Oryctolagus cuniculus: one gene and its partners. The protein of the gene in region 1 interacts with the protein of each later gene in a pairwise test. Links are inferred from orthologs where the notes say so. Each region holds a gene or a part of one and is shown in the gene's direction. Other genes may lie near its edges.

Region 1 (3,500 bases):
AGGCAGCGAGGGGCTAACCTTGTCACAGGCCAGCTCTCAGGGCTCTTCTGCATGCTGGACTTCTCTGGACATGAGGGCAGCCTCTTAGCTACAGGGCAGCCGGCCACTGGGCCAGCTGCTCCTGCTCCATCCTGGGCAACCTTGCCTGTGCTTGTTTGCAGGACAAGGCTGTGGCCGAGCCCGTCAGCCGCCTGCTGGAGACCACGCTCAGGAGCGGCCACCTGCCCAGCAGGATCGGAGCCCTGCACGGCGCCCTCTACGTGCTGGAGTGCGACCTCTTGGATGACACGGCGAAGCAGCTCATCCCCGTCATCAGCGACTATCTCCTCTCCAACCTCAAGGGCGTAGCCCAGTAAGTGGGCACCTGACGGGTGGGAGGGAGAAAGAGCTGGCCACAGGGCGGCAGGTAGCAGTGGGAACCCAGGCAGGCGCCCTGCTCCTGGCAACAGTGAGGCCCGGGAGATGTGGGTGCAGATGCTTGCCCGATGGAAGCTCTCGCGAGTGCCCCCGAGGAGGTGGCACTATCTCTGCTTTCCTCCCCCGTGGTGCTCAGCCCGCTCCCACGTGCCGCTGCCCACTCTGTCGGCAAGCACGGCCAAGGCTCAGCCTGCTCTCTGTAGCACCCCTCCCGCACGCCGTGGTGGGGAACGCATTGCTGTGATCCCACCTTGCCGCCTGCTGCCCCGACGGCCCTGAGAAGGCATGGCTGGTTACGGAGCCCTTAGGAAGCAGACGAGCACGTGGCACCCAGCAGAGCCGGCAGCACAGCTTAGCTGTCTTCAAACTCACCGTCATGGGAAGAGTTGAATTTCTGCAGGCAGAGGAGGCCCCTCAGGTGTGGTTCAGGGTGGGCTGCAGCAGGGAGGTGGTACCAGGAACCCATGGCTCCAACCCAGGCAGAGACGGCGTGGCGCTGTAGCAAGGCCCTTCCTACTGGATGGTGAGCCCTGAGCAAGCAGGGTAGGCAGAGAGCTGGCCACCATCCCCGTGTGCCCAGAGATGGGTCTATGGTGGAGTCCTGCTGAGACGTGGGGGTGGGCCTGTCTCTGCCCCATGTGTTGGAGGACACGTTTTTGGTGCAGCCCCTGAGCTGGCATCAGGCCAAGGCAGAGCCACTGGTCATCTGGTGCATGGCCGTTCCTTGGTGCTGTCACTCAGCAGACTTGGAGGGATACAGGGAGTGTCCAGGTAGAGACTGGACAGCGCTGGCCTCAGAGCCAGCATGCGGCCTACATTGTGGCAGCCGTGCGTAAGCAGTGGAGGTGGGTATGCTGTCTGCACGTGTGGCAGAGGTGGTGAGCTAGACTCTTTGTTCACGGTGGCCGTTCGTCCAGTGATAGGCAGGCTAGGTCTTTGTTCATGGTGGTCGTTTGTCCAGTGACAGACAGGCTAGGTCTTTGTACACAGTGGCCGTTTGTCCAGTGACAGACAGGCTAGGTCTTTGTTCACAGTGGCCGTTTGTCCAGTGACAGGCAGGCTAGGTCTTTGTTCACGGTGGCCGTTTGTCCAGTGACAGGCAGGCTAGGCTGTTGCGGAGCAGACAGGTGCCAAGAGGAGACTCCCCAAGTCGGGGTTCAAGGTACCACACAGGAGAGCAGAGGGCACCCTCCAGGCCTCTCTGATGGGCAGAGGTGAAGTGGCCAGTGCTGGGATGAGGCGAGCCAGGCTGAGGGCTTTGCAGCGTGAGGCAGGCAGGCCATGTGGAGTGAGGCCAAGTGCAGAAGCCAGGGCCAGCCGTGCAGGGTGCAGAGTGCTCGAGTGCCGTGTGGCCTTGCCTATGTACCCCCTACCAGGCCAGGTTGAACGGGTCCAGGCCACGGAGGAGCCGGCCCGCGAGGGTGGGGCAGCTGTGTGTGACAGGCCATCTGTGCCCCGTTGCAGCTGCGTGAACATTCACAGCCAGCAGCACGTGCTGGTGATGTGCGCCACTGCCTTCTACCTGATGGAGAACTATCCTCTGGACGTGGGGCCGGAGTTCTCAGCGTCAATCATACAGGCGAGTGGCCCCGGGCCCATCTCTGTCCCTGTCCTCGTGGACAGTGGGGTCAGCTGTGGTTCCCCTGCGGCCGCCCTGCCACTCTGACAGAAGGCTTTCTCTCGTCCAGATGTGTGGAGTGATGCTCTCTGGGAGTGAGGAGGCCACACCCTCCATCATTTACCACTGTGCCCTCCGAGGCCTGGAGCGCCTCCTGCTGTCCGAGCAGCTCTCCCGGCTGGATGCAGAGTCCCTGGTCAAGCTGAGTGTGGACAGAGTGAATGTGCACAGCCCGCATCGGGCTATGGCGGCCTTGGGCCTGATGCTTACCTGCATGTACACAGGTGAGGAGAGGCGGACGCCTGCGCCCGTGCTGCCCTGACCCGGGTGCTGCCCTGACCCGGGTGCGGCCTGACCCGGGTGCTGCCCTGAGGTCAGCCACTGTGCATAGGCAGCAGAGCCACACCTCCGGCCACTGCCTCCCATGCAGCTGAGCCTTGGCCAGGTCCTGGGCCGGCTAAGGGCTTACTTAGGTCACCTCTTTCGGATCATCTCTAGGGGTCTGTTGAACTTCGTATGCAAGGCACCGTCTGTGGAGCCTGTTGGGCTTTATAAATCGTGCAGCTGTGTATTGAATACTTGTGTTTCAGGGAAGGAGAAAATCAGCCCGGGCAGAACCTCGGACGCTAACCCCGCAGCCCCAGACAGCGAGTCAGTGATTGTCGCGATGGAGCGGGTATCCGTTCTCTTCGACAGGTGAGCAGCGAAGCCCGCCGCTGTGGCCGTGAACTGCCTTGGGCTTTGGCCAGAGGAGCATACGCATGCGCATCTGCTTACCTTCCTCCTCATGTCTCTTCACCCTCCGACCAGGGGCTGTCCCGCCAGCAGGCCATCCTGGGACCCCAGCACTGAGTGACTCCACGGTGGCCCTGGGGAGGTCGAGGGCCAGGCCCGTGGGATCGGCCTGTGGCAGGTCGGGGCCTGGAGGCGGGCCCTACTGCAGACGCCTGCTCACCCTTGCTGCCTTTTGTGTGCTCACCGTGCACTGCAGGAGGGACATGCAGCCCCTGAGGGCAGCGTCAGGCAGTGCAGAGGCTGGAGCGAAAGTACCCTCAGGAGTTGCTGCCAGGCCTCCCAGCCTTCCCACTTGTGTGCTCAGAATCCGCACACCTGCCAGTCCTGAGAGCGCCGGGGGCTCGTCAGGCTTTCCCTAGAGCAGCCCGTGTCCTGCCCCGAGTCTCTCCGGGCCCAGTGACGTGGCAGTTTTGTGGCCTGCAGTGAGCAGTTGGTTTGCCGAAGACAGACTGTTCTCAGGCTGGTCTCGGGCATGCGCACAGAAGGGCTCTGCATGAGTCCCTTCTGGGGCCCGAAGAGGTTCTCTGTGTGGCCAAGCACATGCCGGTCTGCTTCTGTGCTGAGCCTGAGGTTCCAGCGAGCCTGCGGTCACTGTGGCCGTCCGTGTGTGTGCAGCCACCCCGTGGAGCACCGTGACCAAGTGAGCGTGATGCAGGCACTCAGAGTGACC
Region 2 (3,956 bases), on another chromosome or scaffold:
TTTTTTTTTTTTTTAATTTATTTATTTGACAATTTATTTATTTGAAAGGCAGATTTAGAGACAGAAGGAAACAGAGAGATCTCCCATCAGCTCGTACATATTGGTTGTCGTCCAGATTACAAAAATATGGACACCTGTGAAAACTTCAAACAATTGAGAAAAAGTGAAAAATAGGAAGTGAAAGTCCCTTCTGGTCTCACCTCACAGAGAAAGCAAATATAAACAGTCGGCGTGTAATCTTCCTGGGTTTTCAAAATGTGCAAACGCACACACACACATGCACACACACATTTTATCTTTGTGAGAAGTAAACATTCGGCTCATTTTCAAAGTGAAGCCTTTAGCTGTGAGTCGACAAGCAGTCGACTTGTCACAGTTTGCAGAACGGCCCGGGTCCACGCACCTGACAGTTCTTAGGCAAACAGGGTGTTAGTGGCCAAAACAGCTGAAGCGGGTGAGCCCCGCACTCACTCAGCCAATGGGGACCTGGAGGCCGGACCTGCGTGCTGGGGGAATAAATAGCTCGCTGCAAAGCCCCCGGGTCTGCAGGGCGCTTAGCGAAGTCTGGCTTGCCCGCTGCGCTGCGCTGCGCTGCGCTTCTGGTCCGGGGCCATCCTTGGAGTGGACGGGTGAGGCTGTTTCTCACAGCCGTCTGCCTTTTTGTTTTAATTAACGAGGCACAGGCACCACCTCATCGTAACTCGGGTTTTCCGTCGTCGCCAGGCGTCGTGGCGACCCTGCCGTGTGGGCAGGGCTTTGCGGGGAACGGGAGCCCCCCGACCGCACACCTGCGATCCCTCCATTTTTAAAAGGAGAGGTGGGAGTCACAGGGGTCTGCGATCAGCCGGGCACCCACTCCCCGCCTGCCTCGCGGCCGTGTGCTACGTTCTCCAGACTGAACAGCTGCTGCCGTTCTGAGGAACTCGGAGCTGTAATGCCGCCGCCAGGAAAACTAGCGCCCGCAGAGCCTCCGCCAGCAGCCCCTCCGGGCGGCCGCGGCATGACGACACGGCGGGGCGGGGCCGGGGCGGGGCGCCGACCGAGGGGCAGGGCTTCAGGGCGCGAGGCGCGCGGTGCGTGTGCGCTGGTAGGCTGGCCGCGGAGTGACGTGTTGGCGCCCGCCCCCCGTCTCCGCCCCGCCCCCGCCAGGCCCCGCCCCTTCGTCCCTCGCGGCCGCGGCCCCTCTAGGCGCCGGCGCAGTGATGGCGGAGGCGGTGGAGCGCACCGACGAGCTGGTCCGCGAGTATCTGCTCTTCCGCGGCTTTACGCACACCCTGCGGCAGCTGGACGCCGAGATCAAGGCGGACAAAGAGAAGGGGTTTCGGGTGAGGGGCCTGCGGGGGCGGCCCGAGGGAGCCCGGGAGCAGCCCGCTCCCCAGCCCCCACTGCCCTCAGGGGCGGGGGCGGCGCTGTCACCGGCGGCGTGGGGGCCGCGGAGATCGGCGCGCGCGGCCCTGGCCTGGCGGACGGGGAACCGAGGCCCTGACACGGGCGTGACTCGCCTGAAGTTGTCCTGCAGTCGGGGGCTGTGGCCTGACCGCTGGTGCAGGTCTGGGTGTTGCTCCCCGGCCTCCTAGCAGGTGCTGGTCAGTCGATGGCTGGGGAGACCCATGTGGTTTCAGCAACCAGGGTTGGGTGGCTGGGAGGTTCTGGCGGCCGACGTATCTATCCCAGGGTTGTTTTCCCGAGGCAGTGGGAGCGCAGCAGGGGTGTGTGCAGCCCAGAACGTTAGCTGGGTTCAGACACCGGTGATGTCGGTCTCAAGTGCCCTTGTTAGCTCACTGGCAATATTGCAACTAAGCACTGGAGGAAGACCTCATTGCACGTGCTAAAACAAACTTTCGGGGCTCCGGTATGGATTTCCGTGGGGAAGTTCTTGGAATCCACGTGTGTGTGGTTTGTGTGTCGACTTCAGCGGGTGTTGGCAGGTGAATTGAGACAGTGAACTCCAGCAAGGGGCCTCCCTGGAGGGGAGTTGGGAAGTCGGGGTTCTTGTTTGGACGAAGTTAGAGGCTCCTGAAACAGGATTTCGCCTCTCTGGGCTCCCGTGCCCCAGTCTGTAATCTATGGGGACTAAAGTGTTGATAGCCAGAACCTTTTCAAATCACCTACTCGGGTATAACTGCTCCTCACAAGGAGGTGGCTCGTTTGGCTGATAGTCTGCGCAGCTATGAGGGCGCTGGTGGGTCGCTGATGACTGGCGGGGGTCCATCAGCGTGCCTCCCGTTGCCCCTTGGAGTCCTGGAACTGTGGAGCTAGAAGGAGGACCATCTCATGTGCTCTTACACGTTTATTATTTTCAATGTGAAGCAACCCAGGAAGCAGTTGAAGTGACAGTGCCAACTTAGTCATGTAAGTCAGAGGCAGATCCAGGACCTGGAGCCAAATCTCCTGCTTCTCTGGCCAAAGCCCATAACACCTGAAATTTCTGTGCCTGCCTAAGATTCGAGCCGTAACTTAAAAGGTGGTACAGTTATGTCTTAAAAACTTCATAGACTGCTAACTTAAAATTTGTATAAATTGTCAGATTTAAATGGCAAGTTAAAAACTTTTATTTTTTCTTTAGGAGAAGATGTATTTATTTGATAGGCAGGGTGACAGAGAAAGGGATCTTCCATCCTCTGACTTACCACATGGCTGCAACGGCCAGGGTTGGGTCAGGCCAAAATCGGGAGCCTGGAACTCCAGCCGGGGCCCCGGTGTGGGTGACAGGGGTCCGGGTATCTGAGCCATCCGCTGTTGCTTTCTTGGGCGTATTAGTGGAGAGCTGGATTGGAAGTGGAACAGCGTGCACTTGAAACGGTGCCTGGATATGGGACGTTGGATGTTAACCTGCTGCACCGCCCAGCTCCAGCCCCTAACTTAAAACTGCTCACATCCCGAAGCTATGGCAGTGGGGAAAACGCTGTGCCCTGTGGAATGAGGGGGGCTTTGCCTCCTGTCCTCACCCTCCCCACCCCTCCGCTCTCACCAGGTGGACAAGATAGTGGACCAGCTGCAGCAGCTAATGCAGGTGTACGACCTGGCCGCCCTGCGGGATTACTGGAGCTACCTGGAGCGGCGGCTCTTCAGCCGCTTGGAGGACGTGTACAGACCCACCATCAACAAGCTCAAGACCAGCCTGTTCCGCTTCTATCTCGTCTACACAATCCAGGTGCTTGGTGCTCCAGGGGCTCTGCCGCCTTTGGCGGAGATAGGGCTTGGTCTTGACCCACAGATAGGGCTTGGTCTCGCCCCTGGGGAGGGCTGTGTGCCTTCCTGTGAAGGAGCGGGACAGTCACGTTATTTCGTGCTGGTTTTTTCCTTCTCCTCTGGATCATCTGACTTCCCCATTTCTGTTTTCCTTCCTATTTAAGATGTTGGAAAGAATATGAAGTTGCTGGCCTGAGGTTTCTGTAATAAGCAGTACAGATGATCGGAGAATCGGGCAGTCGGGTTTTTGTAGAACCTCAGGGACTCGTTTTCAGGATGGCATTTGTTCTTGAGCTGCACATGAAACCAGCTTTGCAGTGACAAGGCCCTCGAGAAAAGGGGCGATGGCTGCTTTCCAATGTGGAGTGGACAGGTCCTCGTGGGCCACTTACCTGGGAGGCTGACACGCACAGGCCGTCTGCTCGGCAGGGGTGAGGAAGCTCACCCGCATCTCCATCTTCCCCCTCCTCTGTGTCTTGCAGACAAACAGAAACGACAAGGCCCAGGAGTTCTTTGCAAAGCAGGCCACGGAGCTCCAGAACCAGGCCGAGTGGAAGGATTGGTTTGTCCTGCCCTTCCTGCCGTCGCCGGACACCAACCCCACCTTTGCTACCTACTTCTCCCGACAGTGGGCGGACACCTTCATCGTGTCCCTGCACAACTTCCTGAGTGTCCTGTTTGAGTGCATGCATATCCTTCCTGTTGCCTGCGGCCATGGGCCCGGTCTGGGGCTCCCAGACGCCGTGACCAGTAGCCGCTGCCCC
Region 3 (4,121 bases), on another chromosome or scaffold:
AATGCTTATTATGAAAAGATGTGTTGGGGCCAGCGCTGTGGCATAGTGGGTAAAGCCACCACCTACAATACCAGTATCCCATAAGGGTGCCGGTTCAAGTTCCGGCTACTCCACTTCCTATCCAGTCTCTGCTATTGCCGGGGAAAGCAGTAAAAGATGGTCCAAGTCTTTGGGCCCCTACACCCGCGTGGGAGACCCAGAAGAAGCTCCTGGCTCCTGGCTCCTGGCTTCAGGTTGGCACAGCTCCAGCCATTGTGGCCATCTGGGGAGTGAACCAGCGGATGAAAGACCTCTCTCTCTCTCTCTCTTTCTCTCTCTAACTCTGCCTTTCAAATGAATAAGTAAACCTTAAAAATACACTAAAAGATGTGCTAGGTTTTAAAAATTTGAATGAAAATGCACAGGCTCAGAAAGGCACTCTTAAAATGCTGTGACACATGGTCTTTCGATGTGTTTTGGGTGTTCATAGGATTTATTTTTTGCTTGATGATACCAAAAAGGAAAACACTCAGAATAACTGGATTCCAGATGCGTGAGGTACTATTTGTGTTCAATCCCTAGGAAGGTGAACATGTTAATAAGTGCAGGTTCTGTCAGATCTCTTTGTATGCACAGTATGTTGCTAAGCCAAATGTTTTTTTATTAATAACAAATAAAACCTTTTTGGTGGGAGTTTGGAAGTGGTTTGAGGGAATCTATGGCACCTCAAATGAGCAAAAGCAAAGATGCTGGTGGCTGATTGTAGCTGTAACAATTAGATCTTTACAGATAGGTAGACTCCTTTAAGGCTGCGTTTCCATTTACTTAAAAAAAAAAATTCAATCCACACAAAAGGAGCCATCACTAAACAGCAGAAACGGCACCAGCGTGGCGTGACTATTAAAGCAATTCCCGCCCTACTGCTGAGATTCGGATTCAGCTACCAGACACCACGAATTCGCGTGGATCTTGGTATAACCTAGTAGCGCTTATTAAAAGAACTGAAAATACTTTCCCAATAGTAAATAGTACCTCAGTTGGTTTGGCGAGCAATTGGGCTTCCAGCTCCCGGAGCAGAACTGTTCCACACAGACCGCGTAGCCCTAGGCAAGGAAAGCCCTTGCCTTCCAGAACAAACTTCCCTTGTTTCAGCTCCTAGAAGTAAGTATTTCCACGCAGCGTTTAAATGACCTTCGCGCTTAACTCGGCGCCTGGTTTGCAGGGAAAACTTAATAAATATCTACTCCCATTCATCTCAGTCACCTAAACCAACCATATACCCGAAGGGAGGAAGAAAACAAGGCGCTTGCCGCGCGCAACCGCAGGACGGAGAAGGCATGTCCTCTCCGACTCGCCGTAGGTGCTAGGTGGCTGCTGCTTCGGTCCCCACCCCACCCCCTTCCACGTCAGCCAAGGACTCGGAGGAGCCGCCGCCGCCGCCGTGGGTTGGAGTCCAAATAGACGGTCCCGCGGTGACCCCAGCCGCTGCCCCTCGGAGCCAGGTAGCGGACCTCGAGCCCCCCAACCGCGGAGGCTTGGTGAGCCGGGGAGAGTCGGAGGAACTGGCTCTCTAGCTGAAAGATGCGAGCAGCAGCTACTAGGCCGCTCGCTTCGGGCCTGGCAAAGGGGAACGGGTCGGGGTGGGGGCTGGGGGCCGCGAAGCTCTGGGCCGGACGCCCCGTCTCAGCTCGCGTTACCGATCGGGGGTCTTCTGCCTCCCAAGACTCCGAGCTCACCCTCTGAGGTGGGGCCTGCTTTGCTGGAGGCGTGGGAGAGGGAAGTGGGTGGGTGAGGTGGGGGTGCAGCGCACCGATTGAGGGACCCCCCAGACGCCGTCAGCATCGACTTGTGCCCCCGATAAACCGCTTTAAAGTTTTGGCAGAGTAGTCACATAACATTTCTTAATTTGAGCAGTTCTGAGTGTATATTCTATTAAAAATCACTGTTTTGTAACGCTGAGGGTGGGCTGGGGGACTGTCACTGTTTTTGACCCTGAATTCTGCTGTACAACATTCTCAAACTCTAGACAGCGAGAGGAATAGGGGAATCAGACGTGCTATACCTTAGTCCGGGGCTGACAAGGGTGGGTTTTTTGGGTTAGAATTTGTTTTTATGTGAACACAATATAGATGGGTCCTTCCCATTTAGTACTTGAAAACTCATAAGCCAAATGCAATGGACTTTAGCAGTAAAGAACACAGTAGTTTACTGGTTTGTGAGATTTTGTTTTTAAACTTGTAATGATGTCCCTGTATTTATTTTTCTAGATTTTCTGGCATCTGTTTATTCTTAAGTCTTCTGTCTGGGGTTGATTATTAACTGGAAACCATGACGGCTGCTGAGAACGTGTGCTATACGTTAATTAACGTGCCAATGGATTCAGAACCACCATCTGAAATTAGCTTAAAAAATGATCTAGGTAAATGCTTATAATATTTTGAGAATGAAATTAATATTTACATTTTTACATTGCATGGTTCTTTATAATTATGAATGCTTTAGTTTTATCTAAATTCTTTTTTTCTGATGAAAACGTATTGTCTTTTGACTTGCAGTATTGGTTTTTGGAAATAAGACAACATTTCAGTTATGCTTACTAAAGCTAAAGAAATGCAGTCACTGAGTTATCAGATACTTCTTAGACTTAATTGTGTAGTTCCATGTATTACACTTAAATGTAGCTGATAATTCTTTAGAGGTAACAGGTTAAGAATGTGTATTAGAATGTCTTAATTCCTTTCTGCGCTTAACTTCCAATTACTTAGCTTATAAAACCAAAAAATTCAACATTGGAATCAATGTGTTTTTCCCTAAAAAGTTAAACTTTTTATTTTTAAAGCATTTTTGCCAAGAAGGAAACAAGAACAATATTCCTTTTTTTTTTTTTTTTTTAGTTATTTGAGAAGCAGACAGATTTCTCTTTCTGGTTCACTCCCTAGCCGAAGCTGGGATCCTAGAACTCAGTCTGAGTCTCCCATGTCTCTCAGGGTGCCCATTTAGCAGGAAGCTGGAACTCTGAGCAGAGCTTATTTATTTGAAAATAAGAGTTACACAGAGAAAGGAGAGGCAGAGAGAGAGAGGACTTCCATCCGATGGTTCACTCCCCAGATGGCCGCAACGGCCAGAGCTGCGCTGATCCAAAGCCAGAAGCCAGGTGCTTCTTCCAGGTCTCCCACACGGGTGCAGGGGCCCAAGGACCTGGGCCATCTTCTACTGCTTTCCCAGGCCACAGCAGAGAGCTGGATGGGAAGAGGAGCAGCCGGGACTTGAACCAGCGCTCATATGGGATGCCGTCGCTTCAGGCCAGGGCTTTAAAGTGCTGCACCACAGCGCCGGCCCCTTAGAAAGGTCTTTCATCTGCTGTTTCACTCTCCAGATGGCCACAAGGGCCTGAGCCAATCCAGAGCCAGGAGCCAGGAGCCTGGAGACCCTCTTCTGGGTCTCCCACTTAAGTATAGGGGCACAAACACTTGGGCCGTCACCTACTGCTTTCCCAAGCCATAGCAGAGAGCTGGATCAGAAAAGGAGCAGCTGAGACTAGAACTGGTGCCATATGGATTTTGGCACTGCAGGAGAAGGCTTTGCCCACTATACCACAGCACCAGCCCCAAGATACTTTTTTTTTTTTTTTAATTTTTTTTTACCTGGAAGGTAAAAATTCAGAGAGAGAAGGAGAGAGAGAGATCTTCCATCCACTGGTTCACTCCCTAAATGTCTGCAGTGGCTGGGGCTGTGCCAGGAGCCAGGAGTTTTCTAGGTCTCTCATGTGGGTGCAGGGGCTCAAGCACTTGGGTCATCTTCCACTGCTTTCCCAGGTGCATTAGCAGGGAGCTGGATTGGAAGTGGAGCAGCCAGACCTCAAACTAATGCCTGTATGGGATGCTGGCACTGCAGGCAGAGGCTCAACTGACTGCGTCACAGCACCAGCCCCCATAAAATACTTTATAGTGCATAATGTTCAGGCTAAGCAAGCAATAAACTTTCATTTTTTCTTAAATGTGTCATCCTTAAATTCTCAACAGTGGCTATAACTAATCTTGAACATTTAAATTTTCTTCCAGTTTCTTTCCTTTTTTTAAGATTTTATATTATTTTATTTTATTTTATTTGAGAGGTAGAGTTACAGACAGTAAGAGGGAGAG
Region 4 (3,500 bases), on another chromosome or scaffold:
CTTGGGCCAGGTCTGATGGCCTCTGAACCGGGGAAGCCAGGGTGCAGCTCTCGGTTCACGGTGGAAAGCCTAGGGCCAGAGAGGGGGCTGCCGGTGTGAGGCCTGGAGTCCAGAGGCCAGCGCTGATGGCCAGAGCTGAGACCTGTGTGCTGGGCGTGTGTAGCCTGCAGACCCCGGCCAGTCGCTGATGCGGGCCCACCCAGAGTCCCTTGCTGATCTCACCTCGAAACTCCCTCCCAGACAAACCCAAAATAACACCCAGGTTTCCACCGAGTGTCCCTGTGAGGCCAGATGTCTATGGTTTCCAACCAAAACATCACGGCAGATTGGATGTCAAAGTTACTCCTCTTAAGCCAGAGCCACTTTTCTCAATAAAATTGTACAGGGAAATCGTTTCTTTTGTAAAAACTTGGACTTACTTTTGGACACAGTAAGTATGGCTAGCCACAGGCAGAAGGTCTGTGACGTCAGCAGTCTTTAAGATCAAAAAGTTTGCAAACCACTGGGTCCGAAGAAAGTGTTTTTGAGCTGGGGATGGAGGCAGCAGTGAGGGTGGAGAGGCTGGGACGACAGGAGGCAGCGCTTTGATCAGGTGTGTTGGACAGACGGGTGACCGGGACAGCGGGCGAGGAGGGGAGAGACGGGGTGACCGGGACAGCGGGCGAGGAGGGGAGAGACGGGGTGACCGGGACAGCGGGCGAGGTGGGGAGAGACGGGGTGACCGGGACAGCGGGCGAGGAGGGGAGAGACTGGGTGACCGGGACAGCGGGCGAGGTGGGGAGAGACTGGGTGACCGGGACAGCGGGCGAGGAGGGGAGAGACGGGGTGACCGGGACAGCGGGCGAGGTGGGGAGAGACTGGGTGACCGGGACAGCGGGCGAGGAGGGGAGAGACTGGGTGACCGGGACAGCGGGCGAGGAGGGGAGAGACTGGGTGACCGGGACAGCGGGCGAGGAGGGGAGAGACTGGGTGACCGGGACAGCGGGCGAGGAGGGGAGAGACTGGGTGACCGGGACAGCAGGCAAGGAGGGGAGAGACTGGGTGACCGGGACAGCAGGCGAGGGGGGGAGAGATGGGCGGGGATGAGGATGGAGTCAGGTCCTGTTGGGTGAGTTGAAGGGGCCGGGACTCCTCGGCGGGAGCTGGCGCGTGGGCAGCAGGAGACGGGAGTCTTTTTTGGTGTGTGTGACTTGAGGCGTCCAGCCTGGTCTTGGCGTCCTGCGCCATTTCCTTCATGATGGCCGCTTGTTCTCGTCCCCAGGGAGTGGGACCGCAGCCGGGAGCGCCGCAGTCGGGGCGAGTACCGGGACTACGACCGGAATCGGCGCGAGCGCTTCTCTCCCCCGCGCCACGAGCTCAGCCCCCCGCAGAAGCGCATGCGACGTGACTGGTGAGCTGATGGCGTTCCCCTCTCTCCTGGCCTCGGCTCCGCAGCCTTCCACCTGCCGAAAGCGCCATTGCCTTTTCGCAGTCCCCCTCGCCCCGGCCGTTTCTGTTCCCGTGCGCCTGCCTCTGTGGCTCGGGGGGGATGGTGGCCCCTTGTCTGACTTCCGTGTCCCCCGTCCTCAGGGATGAGCACAGCTCTGACCCATACCACAGTGGCTATGAGATGCCCTATGCTGGGGGGGGTGGGGGCCCAACTTACGGCCCCCCTCAGCCCTGGGGCCACCCGGACGTCCACATCATGCAGCACCACGTCCTGCCTATCCAGGCCAGGTAAAGAGCAGTGGTTCTGGGTGCCCTGGAGAAGGGAGCCAGGGAGGGGTCGGTGGCTGGAGCCTGGGAGGGTCGGGCCACAGAGGGCCCGAGGGCTGGGGGCAGGGCGGGCTTGAGGTGGTGTCCCTGGTAGGCAGAGAAAGGGGCAGCTGGCTGCCGTGGCCCCGCGCCCTCTTCCCCCCAACCAAGACTCGTGGCGGCCTCCAGGCTGGGCAGCATCGCGGAGATCGACCTGGGTGTGCCACCGCCCGTCATGAAGACCTTCAAGGAGTTCCTGCTGTCGCTGGACGACTCTGTGGACGAGACGGAGGCCGTGAAGCGCTACAACGACTACAAGCTGGATTTCCGACGGCAGCAGATGCAGGACTTCTTCCTGGCCCACAAAGACGAGGAGTGGTCAGTGCCCCAGCCTCCCTGCCGCCTCTCCCTGGCATGTCCCCCCGGCCCTGTCCTCTCCCCCGTGCACCCAGTCCCGAACTCTCGGGGGTGGGGGAGGGGGAGTCTGACCGCGTCTGGTGGGATCTCCTCCTCCGGTGACTGCCGCGGCCCACCCCCGCCCGCCCTCCCCTCCCCGCTGTCCTCGGTCAGTGGGACGCCGCCAGGCAGCTGGCCAGAGCCACCGGGCCCCTTGGGGGCCGCACACAGACTGCTTCCCCTCGCTGGTAGCGGGCCGTTGTCATTCCTGATCCTCAGGACCCTGTGTGGCTGTGGCGTCCTCCCAAAAGCGACGAGTGAATCCAGCGAGAAAAGCAAAGATCTCAGGGTCGTTTGAGAGAAAAAGATTTTATTTTTTTTCCTTTTTTTGTGGATGTTTTAATTTTAATCAACCATCTTTTCCCCCCTTCCTGCTCCTCCTCCTCCTCATCCTCTTTCTGCTCCTCCTCCTTGAAAAGAGCCAGAACTGGGAACCACACCCGCTCATCGTCGGAGCTCGGAGCAAACCCACCTCCACCCCCACCATACCCAGCCCATACATGAGCCCCTGGGCTGAGCCGCGCTGCCCCGGCCAGGCAGACAGGCAGGGCTCCGCTGTGCACAATGCAGCGCGTTAGCTGAATGTGATCGCTCAGGCAGCCAGTCAGGCAGGGCCCCCCCCCGCGGAGTCCCGCAGGGGGGGCATCCGGGCCGGGCGCCCCAGCCAGGAGCCAGCCGGTGCCCGCCAGCCAGCATGGGCCCTGGGCACCGCTAGTTAAATCTTGAGCTCTGTTTGACCAAGCAGCCAAGGTAAAGATCGTGGAGGCGACGCCTGCGGCTTTCTCTCCTCCCACGGCCTCGTGCTTCTGTTCTGTCCGCTGTCCCTTTCTCTGACTGCCCGGCCGCCTGTGTCCTTGTCTCAGTCTCTCACTTCCTTTCATCCTCTCTGTCCCTGTTCTCGCTGCCTGCCTAACACTCACTTCTCTTCTGTCCCCCGTTTGTCTGTCTTCCGTTGCCTTTGTTTCCTATCTCTGACACTTTCTTCCTCCTTCCCACTCCTGCTCTCTCTGGTCCCCCGTCCTGTTGGGAATGTTTTATTTCTCGTGCTCCGGCCCTCCTCTCTCTCCCGTGGGCAGCACCTGTGGCTCTGAGGGCGCACCAGTCTCCCCCGCTGGTCTGCCCTGTCCCTTCTCCATCTTGCTTATCTTCCCCAGGGGGAGAGAGCTGTCCTGCCTTTTGGCTTTTCCTATCTGGTGCACTTGAGGTTTCCTTCTGTCTTCCACCTAGGGGTGGAGGGAGTTGGTGGGTGCAGCTCTTTGAACCACAGTAGTGTGGGGTTGGCAAGGAGAGGGAGGTTCCTCGGGGCCTGC
Region 5 (4,222 bases), on another chromosome or scaffold:
ACAGAAGACCACTGGGGTCTCCCACATGGGTGGCAGGGACCCAAATACTTGGGTCATCTTCTGCTGCTTTCCCAGGTGCATTAGCAAAGAGCTGGATTGGTAGTGGAGCAGTGGGGCTCAAACAGGTGCTCATATGGGATGCTGCCCCCCCTCAGAGTTCTTTCTTGGGGTGCTAACCTACCATAGTGTCTCCCCAGCCCGTGCTTAGCGCAGTGTCAGGTGCGGGCAGCAGCTCAAATCCAGGAATGGTGGTCAAGGGGAGGCCCGTCTGCAGGGGCCAGTAGCAGTCTACCCAGCAAAAAAGTAAAGAAGGAAAGAAGGAAGGAAGAAAGGTAAAAAGAAAAACTCCTTTCTGCCAAATCAAGATTTCCCTATGACCCGTGAACCAAAACCATCGCTGCCACCCTCACTCTCATTCTATCCACGGTAATCATCAAAAGGCCCGACCGTAGCTCTGGGTGGAAGCTGTGAATAACTGGCGCAAAACCAGGAGATTAAAGACCTCGCCAACGCCCAGAAGATGTTCCTACTGCATTGGACCTAAGTCAGTTATGCTATCGGAATTCCAGTTTACTCTGTGAGGAGATTCGGGTGTAACCGAGACGGACTTAAATGGAACATACAGATGAGATTTATTTTTGTAGCTGGCAGGCTTGGATGCATGCCGACCCCTCATCGCCGCCAGCTGCTCGGGCCTGCCTTTCAGGACTCCGGACCGCCCGCTCCCACAGCCGCCGCCTGCTTGCCCGGACAATTCGGGCCCGCAGGCGCTTCCTGGGGACGTCCCCGCTCGCCCCCAGCCCTCCAGGCTGCGAGAGCGCCGGGCCAGCAGCAAGAGCCCTGCAGGCCACCCGAGCGTCCAAGGCCGCCTGAGCGCGCTCCGCGTCTCTACGCTGCCGCCAGGGGCGGGAGCCGAGCCGCCCCGCCAGGCCGGACCGGGGGCGCGGGGCGCCTCCACAAGTGCGGGCTTTCCCCACCCCCGGCGGCGACCCCACCTCCCGCCCCCGCGGCGTGCGCGCCTGTGTCCGTCTGTCGGTCTTCTCTCTCGACGTCAGTGGGAATTTCCAGCCAGGAAGTGAGAGAGTGAGCGAGAGAGCAAGAGAGAGAAGTGCACCAGCGAGCCGGGCAGGAAGAGGAGGTTTCGCCACCGGAGCGGCCCGGCGACGCGCTGACAGCTTCCCCTGCCTTTCCCGTCGGTCGGGCCTCCAGCCGCCGCCACCGCCACCGCCGCCCTTGGCCTGAACGCCGCCTGCCTCCCCGTGCCCACAGACCGGCGCAGCCCAGGCCGGAGCCGCCGGGCCAGGAAGGCGGTGCAGCGCCGCCCGGCTGCCGAGCGCCCCGCGCTTGCCTCCGCCCGCGCTGCGGACATGGCGCGGCGCTGACGGGCCCGGCCCGGTCCGACCGCGCGCCTGCTCCCGCGCTCCGACCCGCACCCGGGCCCGCTCGGGCGCCGGCTCCAGCCGGCTGCTGCCTCTTCCTTCGCCAGCGCGCAGGCCCGCGCCGCCCCGGAGGGCAGCCCCTAGGCGCCGGGAGGCCGCGCGCGGACCCGCCACCAGGGTAAGCCAAACTCGGGCAAGTGGGGGCCTCGCTGGGGACTGGGGGCCGCGTCCCGCCGCCCACCCGGCCCGCAGCCCCGGTACGCCCCCTTGGCCTTCCTCATTCCTGCGCTAACCGCTGGGCCAGACCGTGGGAGGAGGTTGACAGTAGTTGAGAGGCACATGGGCTTTGGCGACTGGGGGGAAGGCACATCCGGACTGCGCGGGGCTGTGCGGCCGAAGGGCCGCGGCCGCCGGAACCCTCCAGTCTCCTGAGCCCCGCTGCCCGGCGAGCACGGGTACCAGAAGCGACTCTTGGAAACTTTTTTTTTAATCCACACCCCTTGTCTCTGTCTGGGGGTGTCTGGAGGTTTGGGGTACGCTGCGGCGCGGAGGAGATCGGGGAAGGTGGTTGGTGCAGTGCAGAACCAGATTTCACCTAAGGGCGTTCCATGAAATGAAAGCAGAAGTGCTTGTCAGTTCTCTAGGTTGGAAAAGCCCTCCCCAGCTTCCCAGAATTAAACAGGAGAGCCTATTCCTCCCTATTGGACTTCTGAAAGAGAGAAGCCCTCGCTTCCCACAAGTGCCCGGCGTGTGTACATACATACGCACACTCACACACACAGCGACAGGGCCTAATCTGTTCACCTGCTGTTGGACCTGCGCATTAGTTTTCAAAAAATGGGGGCCTGGTACTCATCCTCCAGGGCCTGGCGTTAGAGAAAGATGAGAAATCACACTTAGAGCACTTTTCACTGGATTATGTAAAGCTCTGGACAGTGGCATCGTGCATTGTGCCTAACCTCGAAAACCAAACTCATGATATAAACCAAGACTATTCTAAAGATAAGTTTTCTTATGAGCTTTTAAAATAGACTCTGATGGACGTGTTTAATTTGGCCTATCCTGCAACTTAACTGGTACTTAATGATTTAGGATTTAGTTATCAAGACTGAGGACAATTTCTGATCTTTTAACTAGAGGTTTTCAGCATTGCAGCTTATGAAATAACATTGTTTAACTCCAAGGTTTTCTTATAAAGCTTATAATCTGAGAAAAATGTTATGGTATTGCTAAAATATTTAATAGTTCTAGCATCAGAATGTTTTTCTACAAACTGAAGATCTTTGGTAAATACTAATACTTGAAAACAAAATTATCAATAATTATTTTTCTAGCAGGATTCCTCAACTGAATATTCTTGAATAGTTTTAACTGTATTAGTGTGTGCTGGAACTTTAAGAAGGAAACTTAATTAAAATAAAACCCTTAGCTGAAGTATGTTGTTTTCTTGATTTTAATATTGTGCTTTCTAGAGATGAATCCTTCTATTGTTTTATGTACTAAAGAAATTAGGTAAATAAAGTGAAATGCTTTTTGAGCTGATGAGCTCAGGAAGATAGGAAATCAAAAGAGGTGTGTTTCTTTTGGCATTTTACATTTATCATGGAATTGAATTCCTAAAATGAAGGGTGTGTATATGTGTATGAAATGGAAACAGGAAATCTCATAAAACTGTTCATCCATATTGATATACCTGCAACTCCTCAATGCCTTCCTTCACTTGTTTAGGTAAAATGTCTTCTTGGGCAGCCTAGTAGGCCAACTTGAACACAGAAGACTCATTGTATGTAGGTTTTAATGCTGGAAATTAACTGCTGCTTGTTGTGGAAAGTGTACCACTTTTAAACTACTTGAAGAACATATTTAAGAAAACAGTATAATCCTATTAGGAGTTGGTGGTGATTTGCAAATCTGTTATCCTAGTTTTGAAATTGCAGTTTTATCTTCTGTGCTACAGTTGGCCCTCACGTGGGCTGAGTAGATGCTCCTGTTTTTCAAACTCAGTAAAATGAGGAGTATACCCATAAAAATGGTCTTGTTCCCCTTTGTGAGCACTCCTTTGATCTTTGCACTTCCTTTTACTCCTACCACTTAAACAATATCATTTGTGATGACTGAGTTGGAGTTGGTTAAAGCTCAGTTATTCTGAAATAGGCAGGTTTATAGATCTACTGATCATAGTCCTTGCATTTCTCTTATCATTGTTCCTTGAAACAAATTGAAACTAGATTGAGTAACTAATATTTATGCAGGTTGTTTTTGCTACTGTTTTTAGAGTTCCAGGTAGTGGATGAAGTAAGTTACTGCCCTGACTTTGAGGGATTGCCCATTGTGTTAGATAGGAAATTTAGATAAACAGTTGGCAGCTTACATGGATCTTGGACAATGATTCAATCAGCAAACCCTTATTTTTACCTAATTGAAGTGAGATATTCCCCTGTTCAGAAGAGGCGAAAGTTCTGGCTTCTGGGGGGAAGTGGTTACTTCCTAACCTTCAATTAGTTTGAACTCAAAGAGTAGAAAAGTAGTTCACAGTTTAAAACCATAAGTTAAAGTAATTCTATCTGTGTTGTTATACAGATTTTTGATGAGTGCTCAAAATATCTTACCTTCAGAACATACTAGTAGATGTGCTTTTCAAGGAGGTGACTGCTGTAGGAAGTTAGATCTGCAAGAGTCGAGAGAGCAGTTTAACAGTGAGTAAATATTCAAATTACGCTCTTCTGTCTACAGATTGAGCAGGATTCACATTCATATGGGCACATATGAATCAACAGCTGTGCAAATTTCTCCTTGATTTGTCTTTTAGTGGGACGGTTGTTTTGTATAGGTGGTTAATTGGC
Region 6 (3,307 bases), on another chromosome or scaffold:
TCTTAAGCAGTCAGCAGCTCCAAGGCCGACGCTGGCCACTGCCCCTTCCCCTCCCCCCGCGGAGTCAGCATGACTCAGCACATCCCGGCCTGGTCACCCGCCTAGGCCGAGGGCCCCAGATACTGCTTGGGCCCAGCACCTGGGGGTCGCCTTGGCCAGGAGCTGTAGCGCCCAGGTCCTGACCCTGCACCCCGCGCCTGGGGCCTCGGCTCCCCAGGCCTGCCTCCAGGGGCCACTTAAGTGGGGTCCAGGTCCTGCCTTGGCTCCTCCTCCCCCGAGGTCAGGGCGCTGGTTTGAGCCCCTGACTCCCAGACCCACATGCATCTGGTGCGTTTAAAAAAAATGCACGTTCCGGGGAGACAGGCACCCCGCCCCTGTGTCCCCGACCTCTGTCCCTCGGCCGCCCAAGGCGTCTCCTGGACACGCAGAAGCAGCAGGTGGCAGGCCAGACACGGGGCCTCTGTAGAGAGACTGCTCCGGGGCCACGGGAGACCCCAAGTCTCTGGGTTACCGCCATAACAGCCCCCCCAGGAAACGCAACCCCAGGGAGACCCCAGCACCCGGGGGGTTTCACTCTCCCCATCTCACTTCCCAGGAACGCTGGGCGCCGACGGACTCCAAGGCATCCGAGGAGCCCAGGCTTCTGTGCGCCTTAAGGGGCCGGGCCCCTCTTACAATCGTCCCTTCCCCCCGCGCCCCAATAGACTTCCAGGACCCCTCCCCGCCACTTCGACCCCAGGCTCCACACGCCCCAGCATCAATGACCACCTGGAGCGCCTAAAGGCCTCCCGGGGAGGACTTAAATGTGGATGCCCATGGTGTCCCCACCTCCTCCTAACCCCCAGGCCTCAGGGCAGGAGCCCCCTCCTCCCAGAGATCCGCAGGGCTCGCTTACAGCCACCTCCACAGCCCTCCACAGCCCTCCTGCTCGGGGAGACCCCTCAGCTCACAGCACAAACCCCTGGCAGCCTGCAGGTCCTCTCCGCGCTCTGAGGCACGACCCCCCCCCCCCGGGTTCCAGAAAGTTCCATGCTCTCAGAAACGGCCACAGACCCCTGCTTTCCTGAGGTAGCCCCAGGACCACAGGGTCATCACTCCCCAGGGGCTCCCCGGGCACCCACCAACCTCTCACCTCCCGGAGAGACCCTCAGAAGCCCTCGACTTCCCCGAACCAGCCACAGAACCCCCACCCCCATTCTCCATTTCACAACAGGCTCGCGCAACAGGCGCGTGACTTCCCCACCTCAGGGTGGGGACGGAGACCCCCTTTCTGCGCCTGATTGGTCAGAAGCCGCCCGGAGGCCCTGCCTCCCCCAAACGCCAATTGGCCGAGCCCTCGCCCTCCGAGCCCCGCCCCCGAGGGCCAGCAGAGTATAAAAGCCGCCGCCCAAGCAGCCGCCCGAAGCTACGCGTCGGGAGACCCGCGGACCTGTGTCTTGCTTCAACAGTGTTTGAACGGAACAGGCCCGGGGACTCTCTCACAGGCTTCGACCGCCCTCCGACCTCCTCTCCAGTCAGAAGCTCCGGGACCACCTCTCGGCCACCTCCTGCTCCTGGGACCAGCCCACCGCGGTTCTGTGGTCATCTCACCGCCGCCAACCATGACCTCCCAGATCCGTCAGAATTACTCCCCCGAGGTGGAGGCTGCCGTCAACCACCTGGTCAATCTGCATCTGCGGGCCTCCTACACCTACCTCTCTCTGGTGAGGGTCCGCGGGACGCCCCCGACCCGAGTTGCACACAACTGCGCGTGCGCGGGCCCGCTTTGTCCCGCGGCGGCGCCGGGGGCGGAGCCCGCACGCCTCCCGCCAACGGTTTTCCTTTCGCGTCTTCCCGCAGGGCTTCTATTTCGACCGCGACGATGTGGCTCTGGAGGGCGTGAGCCACTTCTTCCGCGAGTTGGCGGAGGAGAAGCGCGAGGCCGCCGAGCGGCTCCTGAAGATGCAAAACCAGCGCGGAGGCCGCGCCCTCTTCCAGGACGTGCAGGTACCTGGTGTGCGGCCCGCGGACTACATCTCCCGGCGGGCTGCGCGCGCCGAGACCGGAGCCCGAGCGCCGGCTGGGTGTCGCGCGGCCTTCTGGGAGATTGAGTTCAGTCGTGAGCGAGTCGTTAAGGTTGGAAAAGGAGGTGAACCCTGAGGGCCCCGCGGTCCGGGCCGCTGCGTGGTCTCCTGAGGCGACTCTTGTAGGAGGGTGGGGGTAGTAAGTACAAGCCCGCCCACCTCTTTTGAGCGTCCCCGGCCCCCGACGGCTGCTGGGAAAGTGGAGTTTGGGCCCAGTGCTGAGCCCCTCGTCCTTTGTGCAGAAGCCGTCCCAGGATGAGTGGGGCAAGACCCTCAACGCCATGGAAGCCGCCTTGGCCCTGGAGAAGAACCTGAACCAGGCGCTCCTGGACCTTCATGCCTTGGGATCCGCCCACACGGACCCTCACGTAAGTGCCCCCGCCACCGCGCCTTTGATTGGGCTGATTTCCCTTGTGAGCCTTCCTCCTCCGTGCGCCGTCTGATCTCCCCTTCTCTCCGTCAGCTCTGTGACTTCCTGGAGAACCACTTCCTGGACGAGGAGGTGAAGCTCCTGAAGAAGATGGGCGACCACCTGACCAACATCCGCCGCCTGAGCGGCCCCCAGGCCTCGCTGGGCGAGTATCTCTTCGAGAGGCTCACGCTCAAGCACGACTAGGGGCGCCCGGAGCCAGCGGCGCCGCGCGTCTGCCCGCGCTCTCCTGCCAGCCGCCAGGCAGCTTGTTCACAGCCCTGAACCCTCTCCCAAACCTGGGACCAAACGGAAATAAAGTTTCTTGCTGCAGCATGGGGTTGTGGTGTGCATTACGGTGGAGGCGGCGGAACGGACCTTCAGGGCTCCACGGAGTGGGCTGGCAGGGGAGAGGTCCGCCAGGCCGGCTGGCCGTTAACTGCCCTGCCCAGCGGGTCGGGCCAGGTTCAGGGAGGGCTGGCAGCAAGGCCCTGTTCGGCCTCAGCAGCCTGGGCGGTGATGGGGTCAGGCAGCGGGCCAAGCTCTGAAAGGCAGGTAAACAATGAGTGACCCTTCACCACGGGCAGCCCAGAGCGGCCGGCCAAGGCTGCTGCTCCTTGCGCCCGCGCCGGGGTAACTCCGGTGCAGGGCACGTACCGAGAAGACAGGTCAGGAGGAGCAGGGGCGCGTGATGCTGTTGGGGTTCAGCACAGGAACCAGACGTGCGACCCGGGCCCAGAGTCTCCAAAGGGGAACTGAAGCAGCTTACGCGGGTTTCTAGAAGCGTCTGCTGGGTCAGCTCTGACCCCTGTTCCCTTTGCGGGAGCAGAGGAAG
Region 7 (3,336 bases), about 190 Mb from region 1:
GCCCTGCCCCTGCGCACTGCGCCGCGCACGCCCGAGAACAGCAGCTTTCCCACAGGAGACAAGGAGGGGCACAGCCTCTGGGACATTTGGAGGCTTTGCAAGACCCCGGCCTCGCCGGCACTCCGCTCAGCCCTACCTCGGCGTCCTGCGAGCCTCGCTTGCACAAGTCCGGTGGCTCCCTGGCCACCGGCGGAGGCCAGCAGGCAGGGTGCTCACCAAAGAATCCGGAAAATGACTTGCCACGGAAAGCCACGCCTGTGGTTGCCGTCTCTGTCCCCAGCCCCCCTGTCCTTTGCCAGATGGTCCCTGTGACGGGACCGAGTGGCACGTTCTCAGCTTTTCTGAACCCCGCCCCGCAGTTGTCTTCGGGGACTGTCAAGCCCATCCTCCCCCAGGCGGCCCCCGCGCCCCCGCCCGTGTTCGTGGGCCCGCCCGTGCCTCAGGGAGCCGTGATGCTGGTCCTGCCCCCGGGCGCCCTGCCCCAGCCCGCCTCCTGCACGTCCAGCGTCGTGGCTGTCGGCAGCACCAAGCTGCTGCCTCTCGCGCCCGCCCCAGTGTTCATCACCTCCAGCCAAAACTGCGCCCCTCAGGTAGACTTTTCTCGAAGGAGGAACTACGTGTGCAACTTCCCAGGCTGCCGGAAGACCTACTTCAAAAGTTCCCACCTCAAGGCTCATCTGCGCACTCACACAGGTACGCCCGGGCGGGGGGGCGCCCTGAGCTCTTTTCCTGAGGTCCCGAAACGCCCGCGGTCTCGGCACAGCCGTCCGGTTTTCCTGCAGAGCGGGGCGAGGGCACGGGCGTCTGCATGGTGGGCCTCCCATAGCCCTCCGGGGGGTCGCGGTGCCCACTTCCGTGTTGCAGGAAACACCCATGCTGCTTTGCGTGCTAGGACATGCACGGTGGCGCTCACTGAAATGCCTGTTGGGTGGCTGGTGGGCAGGCTCTGTCCAGACTGTAGACGTCGAACTCGGCGATGTTCTAGACAAATAGTTCGTTCTTTTGAGGAGGAAGTGTTCAATTTAGAAGGGAGAAATCTCAGCCACTCTTAAAGATCTGGGGATTGCTGGCTTTATTGTGCAGACAGCTGTGTGTAGAAACACCCTCTCGGCCGGCCGTCCAGGGAGTGGCCACTGGCCGCAGGCGCTGGAGCCCGGGCTAGTGTTGGGGAACTGAGCTGGGCTTTGCCATTCTTTGAAGTTTACATTTGAACAGCGCCTCGGGGTTGTGTCCGGGACGCTGATGGGCGGAGGCCTGCGTGCTGCAGGCAGAGGAGCAGGGGTGGAGGGCGAGGTTTAGGGCGGCCTGCCTGTGAGTTGCGTTGTGTTGCGTGGCTTTAAAGGACCCTACAGTTGAGCAGTCTGCTCACTCCACGGTGTCACCGTGACAGGTCAGAGGTTCCACAGGAGGGAGGTGGGAAGGAACGTGCTGTTTCCCTGTACTGCCGGCGGCCGTGCGTGAGGCCCAGGCCCTGGTCCTGGCCCATTGAAGAAGACGGGCCGCCAGGGCCCTCCTCGCTGTGCGGCCGCCTCACTGTCTGGGAGCCCTCCCAGGGCCGCCAGAACCAGTTCTCAGAGTGTCGCTCTCTTCCTCCGGTCCCTGACCCTCGTAGGCTGCTGTCTGTCTCTCTGCTCTTTACTTGCTGTGTGCTTGTCCTCTGTCCCCCGAGTGTGAATCCCTCGTGTCTCACACTCGGGCCTGATGCTGGTCAGTGAGGGCTGCGTCCTACGTGAGATGGGGGTGGCTGGCCTGGTCACGGTGGGCGGGGCTCTGCTCTCGTGGGCGCGTGGCCCTGACACCAGCGGCACAGGGGCTTCAGATCCCACCAGAGCGCAGATTCCAGGTGGAGGCAGGGGCTGAAGGAGGCGTCCCGGCTTCTCCAGCCAGCTTCCCTGGGGTGTTGATCAAATCAAGCATCTGATCAGAACGGGCTCCTCTCCTGCTAACCTCAGCACTCCAGCTGAAATAGCCGTGAAGTTGTGAAACGTACCCTCGTGCCACTTAGTAAACAGTTGGAGTTCGAGAAATAGTTTACCCTGGACAAAATCACTTTTCACATATTTCTACCAGTCTGAAAAATGTTTAAATTGGGGTCAGTGGAGTGGATGGATGGTGTGTGTTTGATGTGTTGCTGACAGGTAGGGAACTGCACAGATCCGGCGCCAGAGGCCTGTTGGTGTGTCCAGCCCCAGGGCGTCCACGAGGCAGTAGGGCAGCACTCCTGGCTGCTGTTGCTGTCGTAATTTATCAAGAATGAGGTTTATTTAGTGCCCAGTCCTGGAGGCTGGCATCTGCCTAGGATCTGTGTGGGGGGGGCTTCCTTGTGTCGTCACACCTGAGGCAGCTGCCTTTATGTCAAAGCCCCCGCCTCCATAACCTCGGAGTCCATCCGTCAGGGCAGGGCCTTGACGCAGTCGTTTCTAAAGGCCCAGCTCTCACATGCCACTAGCATAGACCTCGGGGGCTAAGCCTGCGGCGTGTGAGCTGCGGGCGGCGTGCTCAGGCCCTGGCAGAGCCTGGTGCTTACACACAGGGCCTTCGTAGCCCGTGCTGCTTGTCTGATTCATCATAGTACCGAGTCTTCCTGTTAATTCACCTCTGAGAGTTGTGGATTTCACTCGTTGATTGAAACCGTTTATGTGCCACCTGCTGGACAAAGTGCTGTGCCAACAGCTTAACTGTGTGAAGATGGAGATGGCTGAATCGGTCATGATCCAGGGAAGACGCGTCCTAGAACAGCGTTTAACAAGTCAGTGGTCACGCGTGCACTGTGTGTTTCCCAGCCTGGTGAGAGAAGGGGTGTGCTCCTGCTGCGCAGAGGGGCCCCGAGAGCTCTGCTGGGGGGGAGCCCCCGGCCTCTGTGGGGAAGGCCCTCTGCTCACCCCCGTACCTCCAGGAGGACACACGTGGGGTACGTCCCTGATGCTCCGAAACTTTGAGTGAGTGACAGACATGCTTAAGGCGTGTCACGAGAGGGTGTTGGGTATTAGTGGGATGTTGGAGGTGTCCCGGAGGCCACGGGTTACATGTTTGCTGCCCGGAGTCAGTGCTGCTAAGAGAGTGAAAATCAGTCCGAATTCTCTGCCCTCGCATCGTGAACTTCCAAACCATGAGCTGAGCAGTCCTTCCTTTAGAAGTAGCTTGTCTTGGTGACTCTGTTAGACAGAAGCGAAGTCCTGACAGTGGCTGTTCTCTTCAAGATGTATTTGTTTGCAAGACTGAGCGACAGAGAGGGGGAGAGACAGAGCTCATCCCTCTGCTTCACTCCCCAAAGGGCGGCAGCAGTCCGGAGTGGTCCAGGCTGACACCAGGAGCCCGGGGCTCTGTGCGGGTCTG

What was found.
Region 2: the proteins of HTT (region 1) and WDR91 interact in binary tests that used the Homo sapiens proteins (3 or more experiments, as listed by UniProt). The link is inferred for Oryctolagus cuniculus from reciprocal best matches to the Homo sapiens genes HTT and WDR91.
Region 3: the proteins of HTT (region 1) and COPB1 interact in binary tests that used the Homo sapiens proteins (3 or more experiments, as listed by UniProt). The link is inferred for Oryctolagus cuniculus from reciprocal best matches to the Homo sapiens genes HTT and COPB1.
Region 4: the proteins of HTT (region 1) and SRRT interact in binary tests that used the Homo sapiens proteins (3 or more experiments, as listed by UniProt). The link is inferred for Oryctolagus cuniculus from reciprocal best matches to the Homo sapiens genes HTT and SRRT.
Region 5: the proteins of HTT (region 1) and NFKB1 interact in binary tests that used the Homo sapiens proteins (3 or more experiments, as listed by UniProt). The link is inferred for Oryctolagus cuniculus from reciprocal best matches to the Homo sapiens genes HTT and NFKB1.
Region 6: the proteins of HTT (region 1) and FTL interact in binary tests that used the Homo sapiens proteins (3 or more experiments, as listed by UniProt). The link is inferred for Oryctolagus cuniculus from reciprocal best matches to the Homo sapiens genes HTT and FTL.
Region 7: the proteins of HTT (region 1) and KLF11 interact in binary tests that used the Homo sapiens proteins (3 or more experiments, as listed by UniProt). The link is inferred for Oryctolagus cuniculus from reciprocal best matches to the Homo sapiens genes HTT and KLF11.

The regions. Positions count from the first base shown.
Region 1 is NC_091433.1:1,890,090-1,893,589, forward strand, and holds part of HTT (huntingtin), read left to right. Parts: intron 1-161; coding exon 162-352; intron 353-1,881; coding exon 1,882-1,996; intron 1,997-2,105; coding exon 2,106-2,319; intron 2,320-2,625; coding exon 2,626-2,731; intron 2,732-3,500.
Region 2 is NC_091434.1:171,032,377-171,036,332, reverse strand, and holds the start of WDR91 (WD repeat-containing protein 91), read left to right. Parts: upstream 1-1,156; 5' UTR 1,157-1,202; coding exon 1,203-1,325; intron 1,326-2,974; coding exon 2,975-3,154; intron 3,155-3,674; coding exon 3,675-3,882; intron 3,883-3,956.
Region 3 is NC_091432.1:51,724,194-51,728,314, forward strand, and holds the start of COPB1 (coatomer subunit beta), read left to right. Parts: upstream 1-1,321; 5' UTR 1,322-1,481; exon of another isoform or gene 1,482-1,517; intron 1,518-2,246; 5' UTR 2,247-2,307; coding exon 2,308-2,398; intron 2,399-4,121. UniProt on the Homo sapiens protein: The coatomer is a cytosolic protein complex that binds to dilysine motifs and reversibly associates with Golgi non-clathrin-coated vesicles, which further mediate biosynthetic protein transport from the ER, via the Golgi up to the trans Golgi network.
Region 4 is NC_091450.1:43,017,493-43,020,992, forward strand, and holds part of SRRT (serrate RNA effector molecule homolog), read left to right. Parts: intron 1-1,261; coding exon 1,262-1,390; intron 1,391-1,569; coding exon 1,570-1,716; intron 1,717-1,905; coding exon 1,906-2,112; intron 2,113-2,483; exon of another isoform or gene 2,484-3,500. UniProt on the Homo sapiens protein: Acts as a mediator between the cap-binding complex (CBC) and the primary microRNAs (miRNAs) processing machinery during cell proliferation.
Region 5 is NC_091439.1:62,714,509-62,718,730, reverse strand, and holds the start of NFKB1 (nuclear factor NF-kappa-B p105 subunit), read left to right. Parts: upstream 1-1,422; 5' UTR 1,423-1,557; intron 1,558-4,222.
Region 6 is NC_091449.1:8,287,905-8,291,211, reverse strand, and holds FTL (ferritin light chain), read left to right. Parts: upstream 1-1,500; 5' UTR 1,501-1,601; coding exon 1,602-1,703; intron 1,704-1,839; coding exon 1,840-1,986; intron 1,987-2,305; coding exon 2,306-2,431; intron 2,432-2,526; coding exon 2,527-2,679; 3' UTR 2,680-2,807; downstream 2,808-3,307.
Region 7 is NC_091433.1:192,211,523-192,214,858, reverse strand, and holds part of KLF11 (Krueppel-like factor 11), read left to right. Parts: coding exon 1-693; intron 694-3,336. UniProt on the Homo sapiens protein: Transcription factor. Activates the epsilon- and gamma-globin gene promoters and, to a much lower degree, the beta-globin gene and represses promoters containing SP1-like binding inhibiting cell growth.